Linked DNA regions of Oryzias latipes. The protein of the gene in region 1 interacts with the protein of each later gene in a pairwise test. Links are inferred from orthologs where the notes say so. Each region holds a gene or a part of one and is shown in the gene's direction. Other genes may lie near its edges.

Region 1 (11,073 bases):
CTGTAGTTGGTGAGCAGCTTTCTGCACATATCAGGAGGATTTCTGCTCCACTCTTCTTCACAAATGACTTCTAAATCATTCAGATTTGGTGGCTGTCGCTTAGAAACTCTGAGCTTCAGCTCTCTACAGGTTTTCTGTAGGACTGAGGTCCAGAGACTGGATGGACCGCTCCAAGACCTTGATCTGCTTCTTCTCCAGTCGTTCCTTGGTTGTTTTGGGTCATTCTCCTGTTGGAAGGCCCATCCAGCCTCCATTTAAAGCCTCCTGGTGGAGGAAAGGAGGTTCTCAGTCAGGATTTGACCATCCTCCCATCCACAGAAAAACACCCCCAAACCATAATGCTTGCACCTCCATGCTTGACAGTGGGTATGGTGTTCTTGGGGTCATAGGCAGCATTTCTCTTCCTCCAAACATGACGGGCTGAGTTGATGCCAAAGAGCTCCATGTTGGTCTGATCCGACCACAGCTCCTTCTCCCAATCTCTAAATCATGAAGGAGTTGGTATCAAACTTCAGGTGGGTCTGCTGCACATGTGCCTTCTTAAGCTGGAGGATTTTGCAAGCTCTCCAAGATGTGAAACCGTTGCTGTGTAAAGTATTCCCATTGGTTTTCTTGGTGACTGTGGTTCCAGCTGCTGTGAGATCAACAACCAACTCCTGCCATGTTGTTTTGGGCTGATTTCTCTCGGTTCTTTTGATCATGGAAACCTCACCAGGTCAGATTTGGGTTGGAGCCCCAGACCTACAGGTGGATTGAGGGTCATGTTGTTGTATTTTGCTCCAATTGCACCAACAGTTACCCTAAACCCCCAGCTTCTTGCTGATGGTTCTGTAGTCCAGTCCGGTCTGGTTCAGGTCTACAATCTTCTCCCTTGAATCCACTGAAAGCTCTTTAGTCTTTTCCATGTTGGAGAGTTTGGAGTCGTGACTGATTCTGTGGACAGGTGGCTTTTCTACAGGTGATCAGTTCAAACAGGTGATTAGGAGAGTCTAACTGGTCTGTGTGAACCAGAACTCTGAATGGTTACTAGGGGGGCAAATACTTATTTCCTCCACTGTAGTTCCTGAAGATCAATCCATATTATTCACCTGTTTTTGTAATGTGTTTGCACATTTTTAAAAAGGTCTTCTACTTTAAGCTTTGCTCAAAGATTTTCAGTGTTTTTCTTTTACTTTCAGATAAAACCATTGATAAAAAAAATCTGTCATGTGGAACAGGCCTGTTTTATTCCGTTTTAGTCATGTGATCATTTGTTTTCAGTGGAGCGTACCATCTGTTATGCATGAAACACATTTCACACAAAGTTAGGGTAAAGATGAACAACGTCTTCCTTGTCAGGCGGCATGTCTGTTGACATTTTGGGTCCATGGCCTGGAATCTCCCCAGATCGTAATCCCGTTGAGAACTTGTGGTCAATCCTCAAGAGGCGGGTGGACGAACAGAAAGCCACTAATTCTGACCGACTCCAAGAAGTGATTCTGAAAGAACGGGCTGCTATCAGTCAGGATTTGGGCCAGAAGTTGATTGACAGCATGCCCAGTGGGAGTACAGAGGTCCTGAAAAGAAGGGCCAAGACTGCAAATACTGACTCTTTGCATAAATGTCATGGAATTGTCCATAAAAGCCTTTGAAATGTATGAAGTGCTTGGAATTCTATTAACTCTGAGAAAACTAAAATTTGTGTCCATGACTGTAGACTAAATAGAACAATGCCGACTGACATTCTGAAAAAAATATGTAAGGAGATTTGTGGGGTAAAATTAGAATTTATCAATAGGTCAAAATGTTTCCACCGGAAGAAAAAGAAGGTGTAAACAAAATATTAAAGGTGGGAGTGATGTTGTTTGCCTGTTACCTGCCCCCGCCGCCCCCTATTACCCCCTTTGACCCACCCTCACTGGCTGAACGGTTGCTGTACGCCCCTCAATCTCCCCCTTTTGCCTCCACCACCCTGGTCAGAGCTGCATGGGACAAATTCGCGTTTTCTTTCAAAATGGCGGCTTATCTGTTAGTTTTATCTCCGTAGCAACCATTTACGTTTTTGGTCGCCTAGGGTTGACAAACAGGTCTGTGTAATATTTTTTGAAGTATCAGCAAAAGTACTTTTTCGGATTTCCTTGGCAACTGAAGTTTTTGGTTAACCACGCCCACATTCCTCATATATTCGTAAGGTATTAAATATTGTTTCGTTCAGCTTTAGCCAATGACCATTTGTCTAAAATCTTTAGAATATTTCGGTAAAAAATATGCGATCAACAGGGGAACGCCAAATTTGTGACCTCGCCACGCTAACACAAACTTTAAAACCAACATTTTTTCCCCCGTGAAGCTTCCCGATGACGCTCAAGGAGTTGGGAGGTGATGGCTGCTTGTTTGTTCCAGCTTCTTGAAGAAATTTGCTATTACTTGACTGAAATGCTTTTTTCTTACTGTCTTTTATTAAACTCTCCTTTCATTGCAGATCCAGCGTTTCCCGCCCGTGAGCTCACTCTTCATCTTCCTCCTGTCGCGGAGCTTAACGCCTAATCTCTGTATCAACAGGTGGCAGAGCGTTGGCGACAGCTGGCAGCTCTGGGCGAAAGAGGCATCACCGAAAGCCAGGCTACATGAGAGGAGAGCAGTCCAGGCTGCTGAGCTCTGCAGGTACCGAGGAGGAAGAGGAGGAGGAGGAGGAGGAGGAGGAAGAGGCGATAAGCGGCTGCTTTGGGAATGGAAACTGTGGATGCAGCACCGCCGTCACCCATGGCCCTCCAGCTCAAAGACTGAGTCCAGCTCCTGCTTTAATGGTTAATAAACCAACGGGTTTGAGGAGTGAGGGCGTCCTCGGCCCGGCTGCAGACATCCATCCTGCTCCAGCAACATCCAACCATCTGGGTCTGACCTCAGAGCCTCATGATGAGCTCAGCTTAAGGCTGAGGCCGGCTCCCCAGACCTCAGCAGAAGACTCTTTCACGTCCAGTTTCAGTTTCATTCAGCAATCGCTCAGCTCCAGTCAGAGGACCGGTTCTTCAGCTGCACCACTACAGGAACCAGAACCACCTACCAAAGCCCCCGAAGGACCACAACCCAAACCTGACTCCCAGCAGAACTTCTTAAAGCTCTCGCTTCCTGTCCACTCTTCACCCGGCCACGCACAGAAGGAGGACCTGCCGTCAGGAGGGAGGCTCTGGCGGGAAAGTCAGTGTTACGGTAAAGAGGAGACCTCCCACCTTCTGGACTGCGAGCCCCGTCCTCTGGACGTGGAGGTCACCTCCTCGCTGTCGGTGGATTCAGACACGGCCTCAGCCTCCTCTTTCACCTCCGGTTACGAGAGCGCCACAGCGGGCTTGGAGTCGGGCTGGGACGGCGTGGTGAAGAAGTACGAGGGCGTGCTGCAGGCCTGCCTCCGAAACAACCGCGCCTACACAAAGGTGGGCATAGCGGATCCTCTTGAGGGGGGCAGAGACTTCAAACACATTCACTTTAAAGTGCTGTCATTGCTGAGGGAGAACTCATGTTCTGTAGACTGTTTCAGATCATTAAATCAAATAAATCATGGCGCTAAAGTGCGCTAAAGAGAAAAAGCAATTACATTTAAAGCCGCGAGTGGTGTAGTATGGTTTAGCCCTCCCTCATTGGCTGAGTGGCTGCTACAAGCCCCTCCCTCTCCTTTCATGCCTCTGCCAGCCTAGTCAAACTTGCATGTGAGAAGAAGAAAAAAGCACTTTTTTTCAAAAATGGCGGCTTTTCTATTTGTTTCATCTCCATAGCAACCATTTAGTTATTTGATCGTCCGGGGGGGAGGAACAGGTCGATGTGCATTTTAGAAGGATCGCTAAAAGTAAATTTTTGGGTTTCCTTGGCAACAGAGGTATTTTGTTAGCCACGCCCACATTCCTGATATGTTTGTATCGTATGTCATATAGTTTTGTTCAGCTCAGCGAAAACTTTTCTTCAAAGATGCAGTAAATAGGAAAAATTGCAGAAACAATCTGGTCCTTCAGTCCAGAACGGCTGTGGGACGCAGATAGTTAAAGTTTTGAATCTTTCGGTCCGTGATGGCTCAGGTCAGATGGATGTGAAGGTCATGACAACATTTAGAAACAACCACCTTAAATATCTTGTTCAAAGCTAAGCCCGACAGGAAATGGAATGATGAGCAACAAAGGTCATGGTCTGGCTTTCAAAATAAAACACAAACGTTTATAAAATTAAAGGTTTGGACCATTTGTCATTAATTAAACACATTTAAGTTATTTTCAAAATCTGTGTTAAAAACTGGAAGAAAGTTAAAAAAAAAATCACACTTTTGATTTAAAAAAAAAGAGAATGGAGCAGAGCATAAAGTTATGTTCATAAGTTAAAATCTCCAAAAGCAGCAGAACTTTCTGACAGAATGACGGTCATTGTACTTGTCCCGTTCCCTGTGGGCGGCGTCCTGTGGGCTGATGTCTCCGTCTCTTCTCTCCGCCTCAGATCGAGTCCATGATGTTGAAGCTGCAGAGGCTCCAGCAGAAAGCCGTTCTGGACGACGACTACGACGCAGGTGAACGCCAAACACAACGTTTTAACCCTCTGAATCAAGCGTTTTATGAGGAACGTTTTGCTTGCATGCCATTATTTCACCATTGCGTGTGTTTATAGATTTTCCCATTAAAGTTGTCGGAGTGGAAGGAAGTGTTTGCAGAGCGATTATGACAGAAATCCCAGCTGTCAAAGGACCGTCAAGATTCAAACATTCATCTGTTTAACACTCGTGATCTTTGGGCTCTACTGCGTTATTTAACAACATGGCACAATCCAAACATGTTACATATGATAAAAGACCTGCAGCTAAAAACGGTTTTTGAACCAACCTCACTGAGGCTTGCAGGCGTTTGTTTGAACGGGTCGTCTGAGGCCACGTGTCACTCCGGGTCAGGTCAGGACTGTGACTGGGTCAGAGCAACACTTTGATCCGGAGCGCTGTCATGATCCACTTCCAGCCAAACATCAGTCTCTAAATGGTTTTTGTTTACAATAAAATGGAGGGGTCATGTGGTTTGCCCATGTTATAAAACTTCCTCCACTGTGCTTAATAACACTTTATGTCAGGGGTTTTCCTAAAATGAAGTTTTGGATTTTTCTAAATGTTTATGTGGATTATGACCAAATGTCTCTGCACCTTTAAAAACCCACATTTATCTAAATTCTCTTCAAGATAAAAGCCTTTGGCTGTAAATTTCAAAGCGTGGTTCTGTGGCTGGACAGAACCTGCTGGAACCAGCCGGCTGTCTTGATGCTTTTAGCAAGTAAATAATTGTAAAAATAGAAAACTACAGATGAGCAAATATGAAAACATTTGATCCGACTTTGGTTGTTGGTCATACAAACCTGGATTTTATTGTTAATTCTGCAGGGATGGTTCTGGTTTACAGAAACAACTGTTGCATTATGGGAATTCTTTTCATAATTAAATGAAAACAAATAGCATTTCTGCAATAGACAAAGGCTTATTCTCTTTAGAGAGCAAAAAACATGTTAGCAAATGCTTTGTTGTTTTCTGCCTAACATCTTTATACATATATAGACATAATATATAGATATATTTCCATATTCTTATTATTTTTGTGATGAAACTGTTTCTTTAAACTAGTTTCTAAACCTGTTAAAGCCAAATGTTCAACTTGACAAATGACAAGAAGAAGCAAAGTCCAGAAAAAGACGCTTGGTTCAGGACCCCCGTTTGGCCCCCATGTTTGTCGGGGACAGGCAGAGAGCCGTTTATTTTCAGAGGAGGATGCACTTCTGACCCATTTCATGGGTCTTGTGACAGAAATAACATTGCATGCATTTGCTGCAACTATTCCTCAGTTTTTACTGTCGAACAAACATGTTTCTGAGCGAAAGGTTCATCTAAATGTAAAAACGGCTTTCTAAAACATTAAAACGTTTATTTTTCTTCTTTGATCTTCTTTATAAAAGGACAGATGATCAAAATTCTGGTTTTAGTCAGTTTTAGTCATTTTTGAGAGCCAATAAATGCAGGCCTCATAAGATTTCATTGTCCGGTTGCACGGACTGTTTCGACTTCAAAAGTTGCAAATGTCGAGTTGACGTGTTGTTTGCTGCTTGTGTGATTTTAGCGGAGCGATTTGGGAAAAAGCTGGAGGAGCTGTGCAGTGAGCGTGCAGCACTGAAGCTGGGCTTACCTTCCAGACAACCCAGTGTGTCCTTGTTCCTGGAGAGGCTCCGCCTGGCGGTTCACAGCGCCCTCCAGAGGACGGACGCTGCGCAGAGCAGGTCAGCTGCAGGAAACAAAGAGAAAGACATCGACTGATTAAAATCTGAATTTCAGACATTTTATCAGACTAAAGCTGCTGTCTGAATAAGTCCAACCTTCGCTACAGTTTGGGGTTCAAATCCCAGCAGGAACTCTCATGTTATTTAGTTTAATTTATAAAAAGGTCCGATAAAAAATGTGTTTTTGAAATTTTGACATGTTCTTGTAGCATTTTTCTGATGATGTACAACATATAAAAAGAAAATGAATCTTAAATGGCGTTTTTAAGTTATTTTTTAATTCAAGTTTTTAAAATTGTGGAGCAGAAGAAGTGTCGTTTGAGTAGCATGCGACTTGTCTATACGTCTTTCTTTGGGTGACAGTAAAGGGGGCGGGGTTGCTCCACAGCAACAGTTCCGCCCACAACTAAGCTTGAATTTCTGATGAACTCCTGCCGCTCTGCAGAAACTATGTCCTAGTAAACAACACAAGTCTTTAGATGTTATGCTAAAAACGTCAAAATCATCATGAAAGACCACTGGGAACAATTTAAAAATAGATCAGAGGAGGATCATAGTGGGACTTTGAGGCGTTAACCTGCCATTGTTAGTTCTGTTTGGCTGTTGTTAAGATGATTTAGCACAAAGATGTGAGGAAAAGCTTTCAGAAATAGATCTGCAGACAGGAAGGATGTCAGGGGCAGCCAGATAGAAGAAAAGAAAACACAAATGATTGAATGAGTTTAAAATAATCCTCTCCACACACACTTTTGTTTTTTAAGTGGTACTCTATTGTCTTAAGAGGCAAAACGTGTTGAGATTGTACAGAAGTTCAGAAAAAAACTGGATCCAAATGTAGAATGTTGACACACTTTACTCATTTTTAGAAAAAAAAAGTCGATTTTCAGCTGTAGTTGGGCCAATCAAAGAGACCTGGCGTGTTTATTGGTGCTTCTGTTTCAATGACCAGAGAAAAATCAACAAAATCAATCTAAGTTTTCATAACAAAAAGTGCAAGTGACTCAAAAATAATCAAGCCTGAATGAAATGTCGTGCCGGCCTGTCCTCTGCATTGAATGTTCTCCTGTTTTCAGGGAGGAGCCTAACGTGGGGGAGGAGTCAGACCCTCAGCAGAGCACAATGCTGCGCAGAGACCGACTGATTCAGGAGAAACGGCAGGTGGAGGTAAAGATCACGACTACAATGAGCAGTTAAAGCTGCGAGTGGCGTTGGACGCACCTCGCCACCCCCTTATTACCCTGAAGCGGCTGCTTCACGCCCCTCACTTTACCCCTCTGCCCCTGCCAGCCTGGTCAGAGCTGCATGCGACAAAGTCATGAATGAAATGGCAGCCTTTCTGTTGGTTTTATCTCCATAGCAACCATTCAATTTTTTAGGCACCTGGTGGTGACGAACAAGTCTACGCCATTTTTAGAAGAATCGACAAAAGTAAAGTTTGGGATTTCCATGGCAACAGAGGTTTTTGTTAACCACGCCCACATTCCCAGTATGGTCATATTGTATGTCGTATCGTTTTGTTCAGTCTAGGCCAAGGATTTTGTTGATTACATTTTCACAATATTACGGTAAAGATTGTGCGAGTAACAGAGCAACAAGAAGTTCTCTTCAATGATACTTGAGAAGTTACGGGCCGATAAATGTAGGGGTCACAGGGGCGTTTTTGGAATAACTCAGACTCCTCCTGAGGTCAAAAGTTAAAAAAAATAGTAGAGTTAACCTGGGGATGGCGTGAAATTTTGTGAAGATTTTTATTTTTACCCAAACTGTAGAAACATGCGAAAATCGCCCACAAATTGGTGCCAAGCTGGCCATCCCATAATAGTTTCAAAACTGAGCCCCGACACGTTTGTTTTGGTTTCATCCGTAAAATCTGAAATATTTATTTTGAGCCCCGAAAGACATTTTGGCCCCATTCTTTTTTTTTTTTAATGGTTTCTCCTGCTGTGATGTCATACTTTTTAGGGGGGGTCACTATGCCCTTAATTGATTTTCAGCGGGTTTAGGCGTGAGAAAACGCTAGGGGGGGTTTTGCAGATTGTCATACACGGATTGATTCGTTTTGTTCAACAAAGCCGTGGAACAAAGTGAAGGAAAAAAGGGTTTGAACCTCCGATGTGACACCAGGGGGAAATGGCCGAGCTGCAGCGGACGCTGGAGGAGCTGAAGGACAGGAGGCGCCGTCTGGAGCAGCAGATCCGGCAGGAGGAGCAGCAGGCGGAGGACGAGGAGCTGCAGGGCTGCGTGCTGAGGAGCTGCACGCCGCCCCAGCTCAGAGACATGAGCAGGACGCTGCAGGACCTCGTCACGTCCGAAAGCCGCGCGCAGATCTGCCTCTCCACGCCACCCTCCACCCTCAGGTCAGAGTCACGTTCCTCCTCCTCCTCCTCCTTTTGCATGAATGCTGCATTCAATAAGGTGGGGGCTGGAGATGTTTGTAAAATGACTTTTGTTTGATTGTTGAAGCTTTATTAACACCAGAGGCTGCGCTCATTATACGGAAAACCCAAAATGTTTCAAGTTTGACTCAAAAGTCAAAGTAAAGACTTGAACTTGAGGAAGGGGGCGGGGCTTAAGGGTAACTACCTCCTTTTCTAATTAAATGTAAAAAAAAACAAATTCCCTAACACAAATTCAGCTTCTTAACTTATTTCTGTAAACAAATGTGAATATAGAAATATTCCACAAGGATTTCTTCTAAAAAAAAAGTTTGCAACATTTTGCATAATAACAGAAAAGCTTGTTTAGCTTATTTAAAGAAGCTTTTACTTTTTTATTTTTATTTTTAGAAAAATGTATTTCCTTCCATCTCATTATTGTCTGTACAGTGAAGATGCTCAGGTTTACTAAATGTATCTCTACTCTAAGGAACTGCAGCTTAAACCAGCAAAATTAGGAAGATGTTTTATTTCTATTCTACATTTCTATAATAAATTTCCTAATAAATCCAGACTCATTCCACGAGAAAAACTCCAGTTTGACTTGAAAACTGAAATGTTTTATTTTGACCAGGGCGGCAGCGATGAATCAAGAAATCAATGATCGAATTGGATTGTTCCGATGAACCAATATCCACCATGAATCGTTTCCTCAACTAGAAATTATGATTTTAATCTTATCGTTAAATTTTGGGATGAGTCCAACGATCAGAAACATTTTTTCATCTCAAATATGAATTTTCTTTTATTATTGATCATTATTTCTTCATGTGGTTACAGTCATTTTTATGTTAAATTCACTATGGAAGCTCTCTGAACATTATAATAACATTTGTTCTAACATCTGTTAGATGTTAACATCTGTTCTAATGAGAGCATTACAAACACAAAGTTGACGATGAAAATCATTTTTTGACCTAAATGTAAAGCACACCAGCCCTTTTACTGAAACAATAGTTTAATTGCTTTCAAAAACTATATGATATATCTTATGATTATTTAAAATAAATAATATTTCAGGGGTTAAATCAATCATAAGCTTAGCTTAGAGACTTTTGATTGAATTCAATGATAATTATTAAGCTATTTGAATAGTTCAACATCCAAACTAGTTAAATGTCAACCTGACACATTTTCATACCTCGGTTACACTAAAACATATTTTAGGGGAACAATGTTTGCACAAATAGCCGTTGCTTCGTGTACGGAACACTTATTTGGCTGGAGTTCTTTAAATTATTAAATTAAAAAAATAAAATAAACAAGAGGATCACAAAAGTAACTTTAAATCACATTTTTTGACTCTTTAAAATACTTTTGGTACTCCTAATGAAGTACTTTGAGAGGCTAATCCTCCCGCACATCAGGGACCACCTTCCCACAGACTTGGACCCCCACCATTTCGCATACTGCAAGAACAGATCCACAGAGGACGCTGTAGCCGTGGCTGTCCACTCCACGCTGAACCACCTGGAGCAGCAGCAGAGCTACGTCCGGATGCTCTTCGTGGATTACAGTTCCGCCTTCAACACAATAATCCCGGACAGACTCTGCGATAAACTGCTCACTCTTGCCCCCCCTCACATGCAATTGGATTAACAACTTCCTCACAAACCGATCCCAGACTGTGAGCCCCCACCTCCACTCCACCCGCACACTGAGCATCGGCGCCCCACAGGGCTGTGTGCCGAGCCCCCTGCTGTACTGCCTCTACATTCATGACTGCAGTCCAGCCCACGACAACAACAGCATCGCCAAGTTTGCTGACGACACCACGGTGGTCGGACTCATCCCCAGGGGGGACGAGTCTGAGACAACCTGGTCCTCAGACAACAACCTCACCCTGAACACCAGCAAAACCAGGGAGATCATCGTCGACTTCAGGAAGCATGGCGCGGACCCAGCCCCCCTCACTATTAACGGGGAGCACGTGGAGAGGGTCCACACCTTTAAGTTCCTCAGCATCACCATCTCTGCCGACCTCTCCTGGACAGCCAACACCACTGCCATCACGAAGAAGGCTCAGCAGCGTCTGCACTTCCTGAGGGTCCTCAGGAAGAACAACATCAGCACCAACCTGCTGCTGACCTTCTACCATCATCCATCCAGATCTGCTTACTTTCTGCATAACAGTTTGGTTCTGCAGCTGCACAGTCACGGATAAGGAGAGACTGCAGAGAGTCGTGGAGACGGCTCAGAAGATCATAGCCCCCCCCCACCTGACGGACATCTACTCCGCGCGCTGCATCACTAGGACTCACAACATCATCAAGGACAGTTCACACCCCGGCTCAGACCTGTTCCACCTGCTGCCCTCTGGGAGGCGCTACAGAGGCATCAGAAGCACAACAAAGACTCAAAAACAGCTTCTTTCCAA
Region 2 (10,138 bases), about 12 Mb from region 1:
GTCCTTTGTGAAATGACGTTTCCATGTGTTTAGGAACTGAAGCTTTTGAGTCTGGGGCAGCACTCTCCAAAGGTGAATCCTCCTCCAGCCCAACAGACCGTAAATGCAGGACCCTCCCCCAGCTTCCCGTGGATGACCCCCAGGCCAAATCCAGCTCACAGGCTGCAAGATCTGACATAGGGGAGAAGCAGGACACTGAGCCACAGGAGAAAGAGAACAAGGGAGACGGCGAGTCTCCAATTCCCATGAAGGACACTGTAACGATCAGTAAATGCAAACAAAGTCCTGCCTCGTCTCCATCCAAGAGTCCTTTCCGTAGCTCTGGTGGAACAGAAAGAAGGAAGAGATCAGAGGAGAGGGATGGAGGAGGAGAAGAAGAAGGAGAGAAGTGTGGGAAACCTCTTGTCCGTCAGGGCAGCTTTACGATTGAGAAGCCCAGTTCTAGCGTCAACGTAGAGCTCATTCCTCGCATAAACAGAGGCACGAGTGGCCGCGAGCGCAGTGACTCTGTGGGTAGCATGGACACTGCAACACTGCTGAAGGACACTGAAGCTGTCATGGCATTTCTAGAGGCTAAACTGAGGGATGAGAACAAACTGAGCCAGAAAAGTACCAAAGTTGGTGTTAATACTCAGGCTTCTGGACTCCCTTCTCGGACTGACTGCATCTCACCTGAATCAGACGTGGACACGGCCAGCACAGCCAGTCACGCCGCTGGAGAAGCAGAGGGTAAAGCAGCAGCTGGTGGGGTGCAGAAACGGCGCTCTCTGAGCAGCATGCACCGCGAGAAGAGCAACATGAGCACTTCATCCAGGACCAGCACCTTAAATGCAAGTGCTCGCGAACGCTTGGAGAGGAAATCAAAAAGCCGAACAGCTGAAGCAACATCCCGAACTGATGCCCGTCGCTCTACTCAGACATCCACAGCTTCCTGCAGAGCACAGCAACCATCTCTAGATCTCACTGATGATGATCAGACCTCTTCCTTTCCCATTTCTGATGTCCTCTCTTCAGATCAGGAAACCTATTCTGGACCTTTGGGGCACTCAGCACTCAGGCGTGGTTCTGAAGATGTTCTCTATTCTAAAACCGATAGCAGGACTGGAAAAACTTTGGTAAGTAGTTCCTCCAAAACCAACCGGACTGTTCAGGCAGCCACAACCTCCTCCCTGAATAAGCAGGCCTCACTGCCTCAGCCACGGCCCACAAGGGCCTCCCTCCTTCGCCGCGCTCGGCTTGGCGATACATCTGACACAGATCTAGCCGATGCAGACAGGGTTTCCGTGGCATCTGAGGTGTCCACCACCAGCTCTACCTCTAAACCACCAAGCGGTCGGAAGGGACTGTCTCGACTAGACATGCTGGCTCAGCCGCGAAGAACCCGTCTTGGCTCTATCTCAGCCCGAAGCGACTCTGAATGCACAACAACGCGAAGCTCCACCTCTTCAGCACGGCTGTCCACTGAGACCGCTCTGCGCCTCGGCTTGCGTTCATCAGCGCCTACAGAGAACAGACTGACACCCAGAATGAGAGCTAACAGTGTTTCCAAACTGAATGAGACCAAGACTAAAACCACTACAGCGGGATACTGCTCACCCACAGGTGAGAACATCCCCGTCACATTTCCTTCTTAGAAACGTAGAAAGAAAGCATAAATGTTTAGTGTATTGTGTCTGTGCATAAAGCTCCACACTATGTTGTGATTGGTTCTCATCATCTAGAGAGCTCTCAGCCTGAAACTGCAGGTGCTGATGCAGAGGAAGAGCTGATGGGTACTGTACCTGAACTATAGACTTGAGAGATGCTTGTGTGCAGGTTCATTTGGCGTGAGTGTGTTCATGCTTGGCGTGTGTGTGTGTGTGTGTGTGTGTGTGTGTGTGTTTGCACGTGGAGACGTCAGACCTGGGTCACAGCACTGGAAAGCTACCCATCTTAGTTTATATTATAATATTATATGATGCAGCATTAGTGGGGCTGGGTTAAAATAGCTAAATTCCTCTATGATTGGAATCTGATTTATTTGGATACGATTCCATCTAAAACTGATTCCATATGGATTTTTTTGAGTCTTCTCATAACTAGTGCTTTGGACTGAACAAACGTGTTCCTGGCAATTAAAAAATGGTACCTACAATAAAAAATGAGCAGTAAAGCCGTTTTCTGTTACAAGGCATCACATTAGAGGAAAATTGAGCCATAGATTTCATGAATCCATGTCACATCCTTTGAGTTAGGATCTCTTTGAATTGATAAAATCAGATGAGCTTTTAAAACCCAGCCCTGGAATGACATCAAAACATTTTCATGACGGAAAGCTGAGCTGCGATGACCCAGCTCTAACATGTGTGGCCCTAACTTTGAATCCCTGCTTTTTCATTGATTGAAGAACACTATAATGACCCAAACGCGCTGCTCGTGTTTTCACCTTTACAACAGCAGAGCATACGTAGTTTTGTCTCATCAACAGGAGAAGTGGTAGTATTTTGTTTAGACCTTTTTCTGTGCTTTCATGTATTTTTTAGGCTGTACAGACAGAGAGCTTTCAGCAACTCCAGTGCAATGCTTTCTATGCTGCTGTTTTAATGTGATTTGATCATTGCTTTCCATTCATTAACACAAACCTAACACAAGTTCAGTGTGTTAGTTCTTCCTTAGGTTTTTGTTTGGTAGGAGAGTTCCAGAACATCCCATGACTGTTAACAACTTCATTTATATTATAAGTTTGAAGAAAACAAAGTAAATCCCATTAACTTTAAAAGGCTGCTTAAAGTTTAGATTCACATCATCGATTTTGCAACCTTCTGATAATGAAGGTTAAACATACAGTCACTGATTCTAGTTCTTCCACTTTTTAAAGATGAAAGGAGTCTGTAATGTTCATCATAGATACACAACTGTGACAGATAGAATGTAAAAAAAAAAAACAAATCTCACGGAATGATTTTTAAAGAATGTTTTATGTGATAAAAATAAGTATTTAACTTCTACAAAGAGCAAGAACTCTGTCCTCACAGACCTGTTCCATCGTTAAGAAACTCTTCTATCCTCCACTTGTATTAATGGCTCCTGTTTAAACACCTGGATTCTTTCTCTACATTCTGTCTGTCACACAATCTAAAATGAACTAAACAGGCCTCTCATATTTTTAAATGGGTCACTTTGCAGAATCAATGACTGCCCCGCTGTATGGCTGCAGGCTGCCTAGGTTGCAAAGCCTCACATTTATTACTATTTGTGGAGTTTGTTGTAATGTTTGCTCAAATTTTTGCTGTCCTTCTTTGATGGGACAGTGTCCAGCAGCAGTCGGTGGAGGCGCTTGCCCCCGGAGTACGGCTCCACCTCTGAGGAAGAGTTTGGGTCCAGCAGAAATTCCCCCAAGCACGGAGCTCGATCCCACGCACGGCCCCATCACCTGGTCCCTCATCGCAGCTCCAGACTCGGCTCCACCACCAGCTCGGGCGCAGGGGTGTCTGCAACAAGTGGAGCGGGGATCAAGTACCGCATGAAGGAGCAGGAGGAGTACATCAGGGACTGGACAGCACACAGCGAGGAAATAGCCAGGTATGGATCCCTTAATCCATCATTTTCAGTGCATGTGTGTGTGTAGTTGTCTTGAGTCTAAAATACTTTATCTGATGGTTAACAGGTTATTCCCCTGTGTGCGCAGGATCAGCCAGGACTTGGCTAAAGACTTGGCTGTCCTGGCCCGGGAGATCCATGATGTGGCAGGCGAGATTGACTCGGTCAGCTCGTCTGGCACGGCACCCAGCACCACTGTCAGCACGGCTGCCACCACGCCAGGATCGGCCATCGACACCCGGGAAGAGGTAGGCCCAGCACGTCCTGTGCAGCCGGACATACAGGAGAGCATGAAGAAGGTGCCCAATTTTTCTTCTTCTATCACGGCCTCATTGCGTGTGCTTCACCTCAACTCCATCATTCCTCTATAACTGCTTGGGATAAACAAAAATGTTCCTCTCTGCTGCTTCAAAGTTTTTATTTGCTGTGAGTTATTCATCTATTACACTCTCATTTGGTACGCTGTCATGTTTTAAGTTAGTAACCAAGGTTTTTAGCATTGTTGGCTTTACATTTTACATTTAACCTTGCTTTACAGTCACTCTGTCCTTTTACATCCCTCTGGCATGAATGCATGTGTTGTTTAATTCTCTTCCTTTCTTTTCTATATCTTTTTGTCTTCAACCAGTTGGTGGATCGAGTATTTGATGAGAGTCTGAACTTCAGGAAGATCCCTCCTGTTATTTCCACCAAGAAGGCGCCAGAGATTAACGGTAAACCAGTGGAGCACCGGCCGCAAGCTCCTAACAGTGCAGAGCCCCGGGCCTTAAGGAGACGCACCTGGAATCGAGAAGAGGTGAGGCAACAAATCCATGAGAGTGCTTAGACTGTCACAAACACCATTGAAGACGTCATTTCTCTCTCCCTGGTTGTGTTCAGGCGGTGTTGGACAGCTTACTCATACATTCAGTTTCTCAGCTCTCAACCAAGATCAGAAACTCTGTTGACAAAACAGCAGGAAAGATCAGGTGATTACAGTCTGTAGTTTTTTTGTATCTAAAAGTCATTTCAAAAGCCCATAAACTCTCATTGGGATTCGTTATTTTAAAAGAAATGCATCTGTAAATCTGGTTCTGTTGTGTTTTCTTGCTCCAGGATTTTGTTCAAGGATAAGGACAGAAACTGGGAAGAAATTGAGAGTAAGCTGAAATCAGAAAGTGATGTACCTCTTCTTAAAACCTCAAACAAGGTATTGAACCCTGAACAATTCTTGACTAGACATCTTAAATTTAACAAATCCTAAATTTTCTCTTAGGTTAATCTTTTTGTCACTTTTTCCCCTCATTTCGTCAGGAAATCTCCTCAATTTTCCTTGAGCTGAAAAGAGTAGAGAAACAACTTCAAGGTAAGCAGAGGACTCCCTAATATGCATACATTAGCTGATATTCTTAGTTCACTGAGGGGGTATTCAAGATTGGGCACTTTTGGTTCACTTAACCCTTGTGCTATCTTAGATGACCCCACCCTTACATTGACCTGTTCTCCCTACCATGACAAAGGTGGATAAAGGTGGAAAGATTTCATGTAATCCATGGACGCCAGAGAAGATCACAAATAATTGAAGAAAAAAGGTTCAGAGCACTGTCTAGTGGGTCTAGATGACCCAACTCCCAATGTTAAAGTGCCTAGGATAGCACAAGAGTTAAAGTGAACCAGAGTATGTTTTCCCCGAGAACTCGGAACAAATTTTCAGGCTGAATACACCCAACCGGACCCTGGTCCAGGACCAGGAACCAATCTCTGATCCGTCTTTGGAGGTGGTCTCGGTTCGTTTCGAATCGGACTGAGCTTCGGTTCGCTCTGAGATTCCTCAGTCTGAATGCAATCCGTTCTTGGAGCGGAAGAACAGAATCAAAATGCCACAGTAGCCGACGTAAACAGAGTAGGAATGAAGCAACAGATGAGCTGCAGAAAAATATAAAGGTACGATTGTCGTGTTATCAAACGGAAAAAAAGGCCAAATGTTTATTTGTCAGAACATTTATTTATGTGTTTTACCTGCCGTTCACGTGAAAAGTTTATTGAGAACTAAAGGACAAGGACGTCTGAATGCACCGTTTATGTGAGGCATTTCACACAAATGAGGATTAAAGCTAAAGTTTCCTGATCTTCTCCATGTCACGTCTCAGTGATCGATGTGATGGTAGATCCAGACGGAACTTTGGACGCTCTGGCAAGCCTCGGCCTGACCACCCCGACTACTCCAACTAGACCGACATCCGCTAAAACGTCCCCCACCAGCCCGGGATCGGCCCCTCCAGCCAAAGAGTCACTGCCGGAAATCCCCTCTGGAGCTCGGGGTTCAGCAGCCTCCTCCAAGAGCCAGACTTCTTCTACCAGCATAGAAATGAACGCACAAGGCGTCTGTGTGGGTTTGGGCTTAGCAGGAGTTGGAGGACTACCCTTTAGCCGCATGCGACCAAGCGGGGAGGAGGCTATCGCACAGAAATGAGCAGCACCTTTTCAAGAACATAAGCAACTATTAACAGGTCTGAAAAAAGTGAAGGTGCTCAGTTATCAAATGCTTAAAAAACATAATTTTTTTAAATAAACACAGCGGCCATTCTGACAGTTTTATTATACAAGCATAGTTACTTCTTGTCACTCTCCAATACATGACTGTTTATTGTGCATATCAGCAACAGAGGCTGACCCATAGGTTCTAACAGACTAACTATAACATTTGACTTTTTTATGCCTGCTATAAAACCTGTCATCCTGGTTGACTGAAGCCTTTCAGTACTGTCCTTTCCTTCTTTTTGCCTTCTTCATGTGTCTGGACCCTTCCTGCACTAAGGACATGCCTTAAGAAAAATTGTAGCAGCTGAATTTCCTGACCCCCCCCACCTCATGCAAGAGTCTAAAACAATACAGTCTAATATATTTTCCTTTACACATCAATAAACGACAGCCCACTGCAATAATTTATGCGCCGCAAAGAATGTTCTATCAGAATCACCCTGACGAAAGTATACATGCTTTAAGCCCGAATTGTTTGTGTTTTCTTTGTTTTGTTTTGTAATGTATCCTCAACTTTCCTCTCAAACCCCTTATGAGTTTTATTTAACGGTCATGTTTCCTTCCTTGTAGAGGAGATCTCGCCTGCAGTAGCATGTACAGGATACAAGGATGCATTTCACAATGTCCACCAGAAACGCTGCTTTTATTTATTAGCAGGTGAAACAGTGACAATACCTTACTAAAGTGAACTCGTTACCAGTCATTTCAGCTGTTTAGTCATCTAGAAAATGTGATTTGGAGCCAAAAAATTATACAGCATGAGATGTTTTATTATAACTATCAGTTAGTTATAATAACTATTTTATTATAACTAAAGTGAAAAAGGATGTTTGTATTTAATTTTTTTGTTTTTGCTTTAAAACCTTCACATAAGTGTTTCTTTTAGTTCTTAATGGAATGATTTTAAAGTCAGACGCATAGCTTCCATTTTATTGTGTCAAACTAAATGTTTAATAAGAAAAAGACCATTTCTAAACTTTTTAGGGATTTGGTTTAGCAAATTTGTATTTTTTTGTACACATAAATGGAAAAAAAACTGCTAGAGTTCCTTTTTATAAAGGTGCCATTAAAAAACAGCAGCCTACAAAAAGATTTATTGATTAAAACTTGTTCTTTTTTATTTTTTTCTGCCCTCTGCTTTATAAATGTCTCATGAGATGCAAAGTCATATCAGTGTAAATACTAAAAAGCTTCTTCTTTTCCAGTCAGGAGGAAGCTCCAATTTCCTTTTCCTGTACTCACAGGCTGCAAAACTAACCATTTCTTCTCTAACTTGGCTGCCTACATTATGTCTAAATGGAGACTGATCATTTTCTTAACCTCTCCTCTGAAGTCTGTGTCTAGACTAGAGTAAAACTACGTAAAGATTGTGTGTTTGTGTCTAGAGATTTTCACAGTAGTGTATTTAGGTACCAGAGTTAGTGTTCATTTCCTTCTCATTCAACGTTACTGTAGACTGATTTGTCTTTTGCCTCAAAGTGCCCATGTTCACTCTGTAAGGGCATTATTCTTGAAAAGAAGGTTGACACAAAAATGTTGCACATCAAGCTGGAGTGTTTTTACATCCAGATTAGGAGAAAATGAAGGAAAAGGCTGCATCAGTTGACGATATCGCCTGATTTCAGACGTGACCATCTTGCCTCTTTGAATTTATTCTGTCAATGAAGCCTCTAAATATTTTTGTCTCAATTACGTTATAAGACAAGCCAATAGGGGAGTGTGAATGCGAGGTACATGTTTCTTTTTATGTTTCATCAGATCAGTGTTGTCATTTATTTTGTTTTTTCTTCCTATTTTTGTAAAGAAATTTACTGTTTTATTTATTTTGTTTTGTGGATGTTTACTGCATTTTATATTTGAATATCCACATTATTGGTAATAAAATGAGCCATTCAGTTGTCTTTGTTGTCATGTGAAAAGAATTTGCATCATTTTGTTTGCATTGCAAACATGCCTGAGTGCTTAGTATCCATACAGGACCCTTAAAATAAACGTACATTTTAATTATTAAGATTTGCAAATTAATATTTGCTAAAACCCAACTTGTGTTTTATTTTGTCTAATAGAAGTGGGTAAAATAAGCAGTCCCTTAAGTCTTAACATATTACACAGATTCAGCAATTCTGGAACCTTTTGTTTCAAACAAAAGTAGCCAAAGGATGCAAAATAATGAGATTTTTTTTCATTGAAAGATCTACCATCAAATGCACTTTAGTTTCAAATGTATCCAAAAGAACTTAGATTTTAATAGCATAAATGCATTTACTGATTATTACTTTATTTAAACTCCTAAATGACATGAAGAAAGATGAAAGACAAGTTAAAGTCTGTTGTTGAAAACTTTATTAACAAATGAACAGATTCATGTTTGTTTCATGTGGTTTCACCAAATCAACTGTTTAAAGTTTAGAAGTACAGGACACCAAACAACAGACTTTGACATGACTACGTGGTCTGCAAAGGAAGAGGAAGGTTAGCCTGGGGGCCATCCCATCATGCGTCCACCCAGGACATGGATGTGGACGTGGTAGACGGATTGGCCTCCATCGGGCCCATCGTTGATGACAATCCTGTAGCCTTTAGTCAGACCTGCGTCCTTAGCACACTTCTTTGCAACTATCAACATGTGGCCCAACAACTGAAAAGAGAAGTAAATAACAAGAGAACACGTGAAGATTCCGACCTTTAAATAGACCTCTGATCTCAGATTAAGTAGCTCCCTCTAGTGGCCACTGACAGAAACATGCGATGAAGCTCAAAGGAAGAACATGCAGTCAGACTTACTGCAGCATCGTCCTCCTCGGCTACAGACAGCTGAACTATTGGCTTTTTCGGAACTACCAGGATGTGAGTGGGAGCTTGAGGAGAGATGTCAGGAAAGGCCACACACTGAAAGACAGGAGACACAAACAGATCTGTAAGGATTCTGAGTTGTGATGCATGAGGACACTTGCTTTATTTCTTCCGAGACAGGACTTCAAAATAAAAGTCATGTGGTGACATTTATTTGGCTAAATAATGATCACAGTAAAAACCAGAGACATATGGGCATAACCAGTGTCAATGTGGATTTTCTTTTGTCGTCACGTGTCAGTCATAGCTGCCAAACAAAGTGTAACTTCAACACCGGTTAATGATCAGATCAGTACATGCACGGTGACACCCATGACAATTCCCTAATTACCCCCAAAACAAAGTTTTACATTTATTTTATTCTTTGATTTTAAAGTAAATATATTTGAGAGGTTTTTCAAGTATGGTTTCCGAACTAAACTTTATTTCCTTAGTGACAGATTCCTGCAAGAATTGATTGTGAAAGTGAGCAGGCAGTTTCTGCAGAGGAGCAGGACGAAGCTAGTGGAGACTACGCTGCACGTGTGGCTAATAAAACGCGCACGGATGTGATCAATGTCATGCGCACCTGATCGTCCTCATAGAGTAGGTTCACAGGAATCTCTTTGCGCACAATTTTTCCAAATATTGTGTCTCCACCCGGACGGGCGGTCTGTGCCTTCTCCGTTTCGTCAGCCATCTTGGCGCAGTGGAGTCCAGGCCGCGCAGACGCAGTAGAGTCAGTGGGCTGTGGTATAAGGCTGGACGCTGATTGGTTAGAAGTGTACGTCATTTGAACGTGCCTACTGATTGGCCGGTTGTTGAACCTCCGGAAGTACAAGTCAAGATGGGGACTCGTTTGAAGGTGAGGAGTATTTCTTTATGTTTAACGTGAGCATTTTTGTAACATCACTATGTCTAAAATATTTTTAGATTTGAATAGAGTATAAACATATATTTGTTGTTGGATGCTGGTAATACATGTTGTTACTGTCTTGGAGCTGACTGCGCATGCTTACAGGTTCTAAATGCCTTTAAAACGCTGCACAGAACAAGGATGGCTGTTTTTAAAGATGACGAAGGGGCGCTGACAGGTAGGTTTCGCCTCAGGTACACCAATGGATGAAATTCATGAAATACAAATGTGTGATCATGACTGTTGTGTTCCTGAAAGCTGCTAGGTTAAAGATCAATGAAGAGTTTAAGA
Region 3 (11,073 bases), on another chromosome or scaffold:
GACAAAGGAAATAAAAAAGTAATAGAGGAATTTCTGATTTTACATTAAATGAATGTTATAATTGTCTAAATGTATTGGCACAAAGTCGCCTCAGTTCTGTCTATTGACTGTTTATCTGAAAACTGGACAGTGTGGCCCCGCCCCCTGGCTTCCAAACAGGAAGTACACATATAGACTTCTACAAAGAAATACACAGCTGTTACTTGGTCAATCTACCTGTCAGAATAAACCATTCTAAATGGTAATTGGCGTATACTTGTATAGCGCTTTTCTACCTACAAGGACAAAGCGCTTTACAGTCACACACACATTCACACCTTTTTTTTTGTCATCTTGATAATTGTCTTTATTTTTCATGATTTTTTTCTGCAGTTCAAATTCTTCAAGTCATAAACTGACCAACCAGGTGTCTCAATAAAAGTAGGTGGAGCCTGCTGGCCACCAAATCCAATGTTCAAAATGTTTGACAGATAATAGGAGTGTGGCTTCCAATAAGCTCACACCTCATTGCTGAGAGTGGTTGCCATAGAGACGTCAACTCAGATCAATCACTGCTTACTGACGACATCTGACTCCCAACATGGCGTCAAACATTTCATTAAAAAAAGACGACTGGGTTGACTTCATTTTGTTGGAGCTGGAATAAACACATTTTCATGGATGATGTCACACAGTCCAGTTCTCTGATATAGTCAATGGTTCAATCTGGAACATTCATTCCTGGATCATCCTGTCTCACTTACCTGGATGGTACAGGTGTGTTATGGACACCATAATACACCCGTACTTTCTCACTTACCTGGGTAATGCAGGTGTGTACACCCGTACCGGGTCAGTTACCTGGATGGTACAGGTGTATCAATGGTGTCCATCTCTCTGCCCGGCGTTTCCATTGGTTCTGTTAAACAGGAAAAGTGGACTTTGACTCGTCTCTGACTCTGTGTGTCTTTCACTTTCAGATGATTACTATGACATTTCGCTAAGCCACTAAGACACTCACCTGCTTCCTCAGACTCACCTGTCGCAGCACAGATGTTCACATGCTGTGTGTGTCTGTGCATACGTGTGTGTGTCCTGGCTGTGAATAAACCTTCAGTGTTGAAATCTGACTCTTTGGGATTGTTTTTGTCTTACTCTCACAAACATGACTCCTCCCCCTAACATTCGTGTTGTGTGCTGGTGAAGCGGTCACTAATAAGTATGAATCCATGTAGGTGTGTCTTCCAGCATATCCATGTGCTTCTTCGTGCTTGACCCCCACCCCCCAGGCCCCAGCTAATAGCGAGTGACCTTCCTGGTTGATTTTGTCCAATAGGAAATTGTCTCAGAGTTGGACGTGAAGAAGGAGGAGCTTAAGGCGGTGCAGGACTTAGCCAATCAGCTGTCAGAGGCCGGAGCTGCCGGCCTGGTGGAACCTCGCCAGCTGCAGCTGAACACGCGCTGGCAGGAAGTGGAGGGTGCCATTGGTCCCTTCAGAAGACGAAGTGTGAGTCCCTGAAGGCACCGTGTGTGCAGATAAAACCCCCGAGAACGGCTAACGATAACAGCTGCTAGCTAACCTCGAGGGTTTGTCCCTGTCAATAAACTTAAAGCTATGGTGGTCTGGTCAGAAGCCCCGCCCACAGTCAGATGGGTTTACCAGAGCTGCTGAGTTCTGAACATGGGACTGTGACCTATGGACCATGGACCAGGACATTGGTGTCTTCCACCCTTGTCCTGTCATGGTGCATAGTTCATTGGTGTCATCATCACTGCTGTTTCATTAGTGGGACTTTCATCCACTGGTTCCTGGGTTTTTCTGGTAAATGGGTTAATAAAGCAGGTCACACCCTTCATCACGCATGACTAATAGTTACAGTGACTCATAACAAAGTAGTGACACCAGCTCCATGGAACAGGATCATTGGTAAAAGCCCAGAAGTCATTTTGGATCAGAGTCCTGAATCTCTGGGGTCGTCCTGGGGGGCGGCGGGCAGACGTGGTTCCCAAACATTTCAGATTTTTCCCTTGAATTGTCTTCATTTTAAAAAAGTCCGTTTTATAGTAAAATCCTCCTTTTTAAACATAAACTTGTCTTCTGTAAAACTGAGGTTAAAGTTTCACAGGACAACAATAACATAAGAAAACTAGACGAATAAAATGAAAAAAAGAAACATAAGTAAAGTAAAAACATTAGAGACAAGCAAAGATAAATAAATAAACACAGATGGGGGGGGGGACATGTGAACGTTTGAAAAAATGAAAATCTGAGCAACTCAATTTAACTAATTTAGTTCTTTTTAATCCAAATCTGAGTTTGGACTCGTTTTTATTTTTTTATTTTATGAGGAGCCAGTTCACAAAAAAGATCTAAAAAAACAGGAATTACTTGAGATTCTTTAACTAAACTAAGGCTTTAAAATCTATCCTTAAATTCCAGGCTAGAGATCCATCCTCCACACTTTCCTGTTAAATGTGGCTCTAAACACTTCATTAGATTACTGATGCTCCATGGTAAATGGCTGTATATGTACATGAGGCTCCACCGTGGTTCTTCAAGGTCCAGTGGTGTGTTTCTGTTACCCCATCTATGCAGAGGTCTGACCCATCCCATTCAAAGGACTATGTAAAACGAACAGAAAAACCTGGCCTCTATAGAAGTGTCAGTGAGTTATGTGGAGAATTGACAGATTTGATATATTTTGGGGCTTAGCACCCCTGAAAGTGACACCCCTAAAACCTACGTGGGGTTTTACTGGCCTAACACTCCACTGGGGCTCCATGATTCTCAGACATCCATAATGTTCCATGAGGGTTCCTGATGGTTCCTGAGGTTCCATAAAGGACCATGACGCTCCATCTACTCTACAGTCTATAGTGTTTCATGACGGTTCCTGAAGGTTCATGTCTGTGACCGTGGTTCAGAAATAAACTGAACTACGATCTTGTGGGGCCGGTCAGTAGATGTATTTCTAAAACAGTGCAGGACTGTCTGATGGTACAGAAACACTTTTCTACTTTCATCTCCTGACATGTTTGCATTTGGAACCACGTCTGTCTGTTGACCTCCATGATCTGAAAATGTGAAGATGATCCACAAGAACCTTCAGCGGTGACGTCTCCATCTGCAGTACCCCTGCTCTGCATGAGGGGGCGCTGTTGGGAACCAAAAATACGTTCCTTCCAACAGGAACTGAAATATTGTGCACACACAGTCTCTCATGTTCTGTCAGCAGCTCACACACTGCTTGATAAATGAAGACACACAAACAGTTGTTTTTTTCCAAATTCAGCTCTTGGTTTCATCCTTTGAACAGAAATATTTGCCCCCCCATGCAGCCTGAGTGAGAACCTTAGAGAGGCTGCATGTCTAGACGTGGATCATCAACGTTTGTCCTCCTAAATGCACATTCTTCTGACATTTATCAGCTTCATCCACGTCTCCTGGTTTTGGTTTTTCCTCCAGAAAAGCAGAACTTTGCTGTTCTTTGTTGTGGAGTTCAGATCAGATCTGGATCGGCTCTGACTATCTCCAGCGTGAGCAAACATGTCTGTTTCCGTTCTGAGCTCTGCTCTGTGTTTGCAGGACTATGTGGCAGAGCTGCAGACTCTGCTGCGGTCGCTGTCAGAGACGGACTTCCAGCTGAACTCTCCAGAGTTCTGGCCGGCTGCCTTTTACAGGCTGAGTCAGCAGGAGCAGTGTCTGAAGGTCAGAACGGGACGGACCCACACCTTTGCTGTTGACCACAACATTTGACACTGTCTGCACGTCAAACCACAGATAATTGTGGTTCTGGTCCAATCAGTCACTGGTTCCTCTCAGTTCTCCAGCTCCATGTCTCTGCAGGAGGTTGGAGAAAACATCGCTGTGCTCCGAGGGCCGGTTGAGGCGGCCCTGGCCCGTAGGGAGGAGGTGGTGGTGGGCGCCCGTCCTCTGGAGGCTCAGAGGATCCGGGAGACGGCGGGCCTCCTGAGCAGCAACTGGGACAAAATCCTCAAGCAGCACCAGGACCGACTCCGGTGAGGAGGCCGAAGGGACTGAATGACGGACAAACAGAGCAGTTTTACCAGCAACCGTTTGTGTGTGTGTGTGTGTGTGTGTGTGTCCAGGCGCTGGCAGGAATGCAACTCCAAGTGGCAGAAGTTTGTGTCAGACCAGAAGGCCATGGAGGCGTGGCTTGCTGATGCAAAAGCCGCTCTGGAGCTGGCAGAGACTCAGCCAGAAGCCCAGAGGCAGAGACTTCGGGTGACTACACCACGAGTACACAACAAGAAGACACAAACAAGTCAACGCTCATGTGTGCACACGTGTACCATAAACAGACATGTCCTGCATGTGAAAATACACATTTACACTGTGTGTAGACATGTCAGACAGCTGTCCTGATTCATGCATACACACAGGTACATGTGGAAGTACACAGTCATGTACACATTTGGATTGACTAAACAGTCCTGGATTTACACCTCAAGTAGACACGACAGTAGAAATACATTCTCATTGGAAAATGACCAAAGTTCCAGTTTTTGTCCATATGGGGCAGCTCTTTAGTGTCTTTGTGTCCTGTGCACTAAACCTGTTCTTCCTTTCTATCTATCGATCTATCTGTCCGTCTGTCTGTCTGTCTGTCTGTCTGTCTGCCTGCCTGTCTGTCTGTCTGTCTGTCTGTCTGTCTGTCTGTCTGTCCGTCCGTCCGTCCGTCTGTCTGTCTGTCTGTCTGTCTGTCTGTCTGTCCGTCCGTCCGTCCGTCCGTCCGTCCGTCCGTCCGTCCGTCTGTCCGTCCGTCTGTCTGTCTGTCTGTCTGTCTGTCTGTCTGTCTGTCTGTCTGCCTGCCTGTCTGTCTGTCTGTCTGTCTGTCTGTCTGTCTGTCTGTCCGTCCGTCCGTCTGTCTGTCTGTCTGTCTGTCCGTCCGTCCGTCCGTCCGTCCGTCCGTCCGTCCGTCCGTCCGTCTGTCTGTCCGTCCGTCCGTCCGTCCGTCCGTCCGTCCGTCTGTCTGTCTGTCTGTCTGTCTGTCCGTCCGTCCGTCCGTCCGTCCGTCCGTCTGTCTGTCTGTCTGTCCGTCTGTCTGTCTGTCTGTCTGTCTGTCTGTCTGTCTGTCTGTCTGCCTGCCTGTCTGTCTGTCTATCTGTCTATCTATGGTTCATAATGTTCAGGTGATGACGTGGGGACACACTGATGACAGCTTAGTGATCTTGTGACACACAGGATTATTCCAGACCGGTCATCTATGCATTGGATCTCATCCATGTGCTGGTCTTCTCTGCCCCCCCCCCCCTCCACCTGTGTGTAGGCGCTGACAGATGCCCTGCCCCTTCAGGAGAGGGTGATTTTCAGAATAAACTCTGCTGGAGAGGAGATCTGCCCCCTGAGCACCCCAGAGGACGCTCTGCAGCTGAAAACGCAGCTGAATCTGCTGAACGCCTGCTGGACCGCCGTCTGCCAACAGCTCCAGGAGCACCGCAGAAGGTGTGTCTTCTGATTGGTTCTACTTCTTCTCTGGTTGATTCTGTGCAGCCTCCTCGTGTTCAGTGGGTACGTTCAAGCAGTCGTGGAAGAAAGTTGGTTTTGATCAGTGTAGAGTTTTTGGGGAAGCCCACCGTTTAGAGCGGCCCCTCCCCCATGACCTTCTCTAGAGACGTCAGATGATGGAGAAGCTTCAGAACAGAACCAGTGCTGAGGTTCTCCTTCATCCTGCAGGTCTGCAGAGGCTCGGACCGCGGCTGCACAAGTGCAGGAGGACATGGGATCCATGTCGGGCTGGCTGGACCAAGCTGAAACAGTCCTGAAGATCCCCCTCCAACCGGCAGAACCCCAGCACATCCGAGACACGCTGGACAAAGTCCAGGTACCGTCCTGTGTTTGCACCTCCTCCTGACTGATGCCCAGACCTGTGCTGACAGGTGTGTGTGTGTGTGTGGGTGGTGTGTGGGTGGGTGTGTGGGTGGGTGTGTGGGTGTGTGTGTGTGTGTGTTCCAGTTTCATGTAGAGCAACTTCCTGAGAAGGAAGCAGCCGTGAAGGATCTGAACTCCAGGCAAACCTCTGTTCCCGCCGAGAAGCTCAGAGACATCAAGATGATCAACACGCGCTGGTCTCAGGTCAGCCGGAGACACTTCCACAGAACCTGAGCAGAACCTGCTCCCCCCAATCCCCTTTCAGCCCCCACTGTGTGAGCTGCCTCTGAGCTGATCTTCCTCTAGGTGTCCAGGGCTCTGCCTGAACGCCAGCAGGAGATCGAGGCTCTTCTCCGGGACCTGATGAAGCTGCGTGGCCGTCTGGAGGACCTGTCTGCCTGGGCGGTGAACACCCGAGCTCGGCTGGAGCAGAGTCCAGAGGAGCCCCCGCCCAGGGTGGGACACTCAATCCATTTTCTGAAAGACAGCACAGTCTGCTTCGCTGTCACCACCTTGTGTCTGCTGCAACAGGTGATGGAGGAGGTGCAGGTGAAGCAGCCAGAAGTGGATTCGGTTCTGGAGAGAGCGGACCGGGTCTTAAAGGAGGTTCCAGATACCCAGACAGAAAAGGTGAGGAGGTCTGAAAAGATCAGGAGGTGACGTGGAAGAAACAGGTTGTCAGATAGGACTCTATTGTTCCTGTGGGCGTTTCCCTTGAGGCGTCTCCACAGCCAATCAGCTTCCTCCGTCTGTCTCCTGTATCCTCTACCAGCAGCTACCTTCATGTCTTCTTTAGAGAAGAATCCTCCTCTCTGGTCTTCCTCTAGACTCAGCATCCTTCAGTCTCTCCTCTGGACATGTCCCAACCATCTCAGTTCCCTCTAATGTCCCCATTCCTGGTCCCAACATCAACTGGTCAAAGTTCAGCTGCTTTTACCTTCAAAATGTGTTCAATGGACGTGTGTGTGTTTGTTTATAGATCCTGGAAATGGCCGTAGAAACTTGTGTAGCGACGTGTGAACAGTTTTGAATGCACACGTTTCCATGGACTTATGGAAGTGGTGGCGTGAAGCACCTTGCTGACGGCGGTGTGAGCCTAGCTTAAAACATATCACGTTTTTTTTGGCTGTTTCCCATATTTTTCTGTGCAATGTTGGATTTTTTTGTCTTACTTCACGTGGAGTTCTGATTGGCTGTTGGCAATCAACTTCCTGTGTGCCGTGTCTCCTGTACAGAATCCCTTCAGTTTGTCACATTTACTTTAATCAGATCCTTGTTTTCATTTGGGCTTTGACAGTTCAAACAAAAGTGTGAGAAAATGTGTAAAGTGTGTAGTGAGGAGTTTTACGGCCTAAAACCTCTAGAAGTTTTGTAAAAGATAAAGAAAAATACTTTGACCATTTTCCCGTATCGCTGGTTAATATTAGAAAAGAATTCTTACAATAAACAGGATAACTCTGTGTTATAACAGCACAAATGAGTGTCTGTGTGCAGTAATAAGTGTGTGTTTGTTACCAGCTGAAGTTCGTGAAGCTGAGAGAAGACTGGACGGTCATTCTGGAGCTGCTGCTGCAGCACAGACAGAGGACGGCCAATCAGCTTCAAGCCAAAACAGCCAGTAAGATCCTTTCTCTCAGTGCAACGTTCACACGGGGACCATTGGAACACCCAAGGAGCTAACCCTGACCTCTGACCTCTGACCCCTAACCCGTTCACATAGGTACACCGCCATTACTACAACCAAAGAGCTAACCCTGACCTCTGACCCCTAACCTGTTCACATACGTACACCACCATTACTACAACCATAGAGCTAACCCTGAACTCTGACCCCTAACCCGTTCACATAGGTACACCGCCATTACTACAACCAAAGAGCTAACCCTGACCTCTGACCCCTAACCTGTTCACATACGTACACCACCATTACTACAACCATAGAGCTAACCCTGACCTCTGACCTTAACTGGCCATGATAATATCAGTTGTGAAGCTTCATTTTGGTTCTAGACATGCTGAACTCAGACGTGATGTTCGTATGTAATTATGACGAGTTTGTGGTCGTTTATGTACAAATCTAATAATAGACTTCAGACCGAACGACTCAACGGAGTCGTCTCCATGGCGCTTGTTTGTGTCCAGTTGAAGGTCTAAGTGGGAGTTCACAGCCTGAGGCTGCAGCTCTGGCTCAGTTCAACAAGTCGTGGGCGGAGCTTACAGACTGGCTGACCATGCTGGACAACATGGTGCGGAACAAACGTGTGGTGGTGGCCGACCTGGAGGACATCCATGACAACGTCCACCAGCTCAAGGTCAGGGTCTCCGTCTGATGATGAGCAGCTGAGCCTGAAGCTAAAAGAGTTCAAACTGCTTCCATTTTTCCAGACATCTCTGCAGGAGCTGGAGCAGCAGCGCCCCCTGCTGGAGAAACAGGTCACAGCAGCACAAAACCTGAAGAACAAAATCAACAACCCGGACACGCGTACTGCCATCACTGAGCGCAGTGAGTCATGACACACAACTGGACTCCTTTTTGTCCTTCATCCTCATGAACAGAGGAGCTAAACACACACGTACAGACACACCTGTTACACATTTAGGAGATCCCTGGAAGCCTTGGTCACATGCTCCTGTACGGGGTTGGACGGGCTTTGGGTTCTCCAGGTGATGGATGGATGGATGGTGAATTAAAAACGACAATAAATGCAATAGCATCAGTAGATCAATAGTATGGTTGTACAAACACATGGAGTCAGATGAAGGTGATCTACAGAGGTGGTTCTCTCTGCCATCACAGTCGACAGACTCCAGACCCACTGGGAAGACTCTCAGACCAAAGTGTCAGAGCGGGTGAAGCAGCTTCTCAACATGCTGCAGGACTCCACCAACTGGCTGAACAGCAGGAAGGATGTGGATCACCTCACCAAGAAGGCCAGTGAGCGGCTGGAATCGTGGCAGGAGATCACGTACAGCGTGGACACTCTGAGGAGGCAGCACGGAGACCTGAAGGTGGGTGGCCTGCTTCCTGTGACAGTAGGAGACGTGGCTGGTTAGTGCGTCAACCTGAAAGTGAAGACAGAATCCTGGGGGGGGTCTCTGTGAGCCCTTCAGAGCAGGCGTTGTGAAGCTTCTCGGTTTATTGAGGTTCAGCGAGTCGTCAACAGTCACCATCACATCCGTCTCTCCAGGTCTTCATCAAAGACCTGAAACTGTGGCAGGAGCAGGTGATGGAGAGCACCGCTCTGGCCAACAAACTGCTGACTCTCTACTCCAACGATGACACCCACAAGGTCAGCCAGGTCAACGACGGCATGATGGCGACGTGGTCCCACATCAACAAGCGGTGAAGGCTGCTGCTCCCAGTGTTCAGTTCCTTTCCTGTAGAAGACGTGTGCGCTAACCACCACATGTCCATGCAGGGTTTCAGACAGGGACGCGGCCGTGGAGGCCGCCCTCAAGCTGCTGCAGCAGTTCTTCCTGGACCTGGAGAAGTTCCTCAACTGGCTGGCAGAGGCAGAAACCACCTGCAACGTTCTAGTGGACGCCACCAACAAGGAGAGAGTGCAGAAGCAGCCAGACAGCAGCAGGAAGGTGCTGGCGCAGTGGAAGGTGGGACAGTTTTCCTGTCCTGACAGAGGATGGACATGGACTGTCTACTGTTTTTACCAGAACCATGGTGCAAAGGATAGGTAGAACTATCCACTTTACTGAGAGGAAAACATCCCATAGATGGTGCAGACCTGTACCTTCTTCTGCCTTCACATTCTCATCAGTCTGTTTCTATGGGCTGTAGCTGTCCAGTCACGCTTTGAAGGTCTTTTTGTTTGTCTATTTTTAGCTAACTTAGCATTTAACTTTACAAATAAAGCTGCAAGCGGCGTTGTATGTTCCGCAGGCATGACCCCCCGCAGGCATGACCCCCCCCAACTGTCTGCCCCAACAGACACCCGATCAGAGCACCGGTCAGTTCGAGCCAGGATTTATGGGTTAAAAAGTCACAATATTCTGGTTCAAAATGTACAAACAGGAGAAGGCCACCACATCAACTCCATTTAAAATCTACTATTTTGAAGCTAATTTTTTTCCTTAAGTAGCTTCCTAGTGATGTTTGAGGAGTGGTTTGTCCTGTCACCCCCATGACAGGTGGTGCGTCCCCCCGTCTTTACTCATCCATCACTTAAACGATCAAACTACACGCCCTGTCCTTCCTAACTGGATTATTGTAAAATACATGTTGTCTGTCATATATCAGTGGTCCCCACCCTTTGTAACGCCACGGACCGTGATGACGTCACACAAAGTTTTCACGGACCGGTCTGTCAAATGGAGGCTGATGAGTAATATAGCAACACTACAACGAAGGAGGAACAGAGACGTGACAGGAGAAACTCTGAGCTTTTATTTTGATACGTATGACATTGTACATCACACAGGTCTTATCATTCTCTCCCCTTCCCTCACTCATGGTGCAAAAAGGAAGTACTGTCTATTAAATGTAGCTTTCTGTTTTTCCTCTTCTGTCTCCTGGATGGCCTTTTCCACTTGGCAAAGAAACTTTCCATAGACGTTTCTTTTTTACTCATTTTGCTAGTTCCTGGGTTTTATTTTAGCGGTATCCTATCACATGATCAAGAAGAGCGCCTTGGCCTGCGTTAATGGTGACATAGACGGATGGAACAGAGAATCTGGCAATTTTTCAAAATAAAACATCTTTCATGTAAGTTATTTTATTCTTTCTCTGCGGCCCGGTACCAAATGACACAGACAGATTGCAGACACAACGTAGACGCACTGCAGACGCACCGCAGACACACCACAGACAGACCGCAGACGAACCACAGACACAACGTAGACGCACTGCAGACGCACCTGCAGACAGATGGCAGACACAACACAGACAGATTGCAGACACAACGTAGACGCACTGCAGACGCACCGCAGACACACCACAGACAGACCGCAAACGAACAACAGACACAACGTAGTCGCACTGCAGACGCACCGCAGACACACCACAGACATAACGTAGACGCACTGCAGACGCACCGCAGACACACCGCAGACGCACCTGCAGACAGATGGCAGACACACCACAGATTGCAGGCACAACGTAGACGCACCTGCAGACAGATGGCAAACACACCTGCAGACAGATGGCAGACACAACACAGACAGATTGCAGACACAACGCAGACGCACTG

Evidence for each region. The genes of interacting proteins can lie anywhere in the genome.
Region 2: the proteins of disc1 (region 1) and cep170 interact in binary tests that used the Homo sapiens proteins (3 or more experiments, as listed by UniProt). The link is inferred for Oryzias latipes from reciprocal best matches to the Homo sapiens genes DISC1 and CEP170.
Region 3: the proteins of disc1 (region 1) and dmd interact in a two-hybrid assay, tested with the Homo sapiens proteins (2 studies listed by BioGRID and IntAct). The link is inferred for Oryzias latipes from reciprocal best matches to the Homo sapiens genes DISC1 and DMD.

Annotation. Positions count from the first base shown.
Region 1 is NC_019873.2:28,416,780-28,427,852, forward strand, and holds part of disc1 (disrupted in schizophrenia 1 protein), read left to right. Parts: intron 1-2,541; coding exon 2,542-3,410; intron 3,411-4,455; coding exon 4,456-4,525; intron 4,526-6,104; coding exon 6,105-6,261; exon of another isoform or gene 6,262-6,266; intron 6,267-7,334; coding exon 7,335-7,425; intron 7,426-8,385; coding exon 8,386-8,618; intron 8,619-11,073. UniProt on the Homo sapiens protein: Involved in the regulation of multiple aspects of embryonic and adult neurogenesis. Required for neural progenitor proliferation in the ventrical/subventrical zone during embryonic brain development and in the adult dentate gyrus of the hippocampus.
Region 2 is NC_019873.2:16,486,433-16,496,570, reverse strand, and holds the end of cep170 (centrosomal protein of 170 kDa), read left to right. Parts: intron 1-33; coding exon 34-1,602; intron 1,603-1,721; coding exon 1,722-1,772; intron 1,773-3,290; coding exon 3,291-3,561; intron 3,562-3,646; coding exon 3,647-3,878; intron 3,879-4,207; coding exon 4,208-4,375; intron 4,376-4,458; coding exon 4,459-4,547; intron 4,548-4,674; coding exon 4,675-4,768; intron 4,769-4,872; coding exon 4,873-4,924; intron 4,925-5,708; coding exon 5,709-6,031; 3' UTR 6,032-8,000; downstream 8,001-10,138. Other genes in the region: hint1 (histidine triad nucleotide-binding protein 1), read right to left, coding at 8,573-8,737, 8,884-8,988, 9,521-9,631; complex III assembly factor LYRM7, read left to right, coding at 9,779-9,796, 9,953-10,025, 10,106-10,138.
Region 3 is NC_019860.2:190,479-201,551, forward strand, and holds part of dmd (dystrophin), read left to right. Parts: intron 1-1,315; coding exon 1,316-1,486; intron 1,487-3,565; coding exon 3,566-3,688; intron 3,689-3,826; coding exon 3,827-3,999; intron 4,000-4,089; coding exon 4,090-4,225; intron 4,226-5,270; coding exon 5,271-5,446; intron 5,447-5,677; coding exon 5,678-5,825; intron 5,826-5,956; coding exon 5,957-6,076; intron 6,077-6,178; coding exon 6,179-6,328; intron 6,329-6,403; coding exon 6,404-6,502; intron 6,503-7,390; coding exon 7,391-7,490; intron 7,491-8,014; coding exon 8,015-8,184; intron 8,185-8,257; coding exon 8,258-8,375; intron 8,376-8,669; coding exon 8,670-8,881; intron 8,882-9,060; coding exon 9,061-9,215; intron 9,216-9,291; coding exon 9,292-9,481; intron 9,482-11,073. UniProt on the Homo sapiens protein: Anchors the extracellular matrix to the cytoskeleton via F-actin. Ligand for dystroglycan.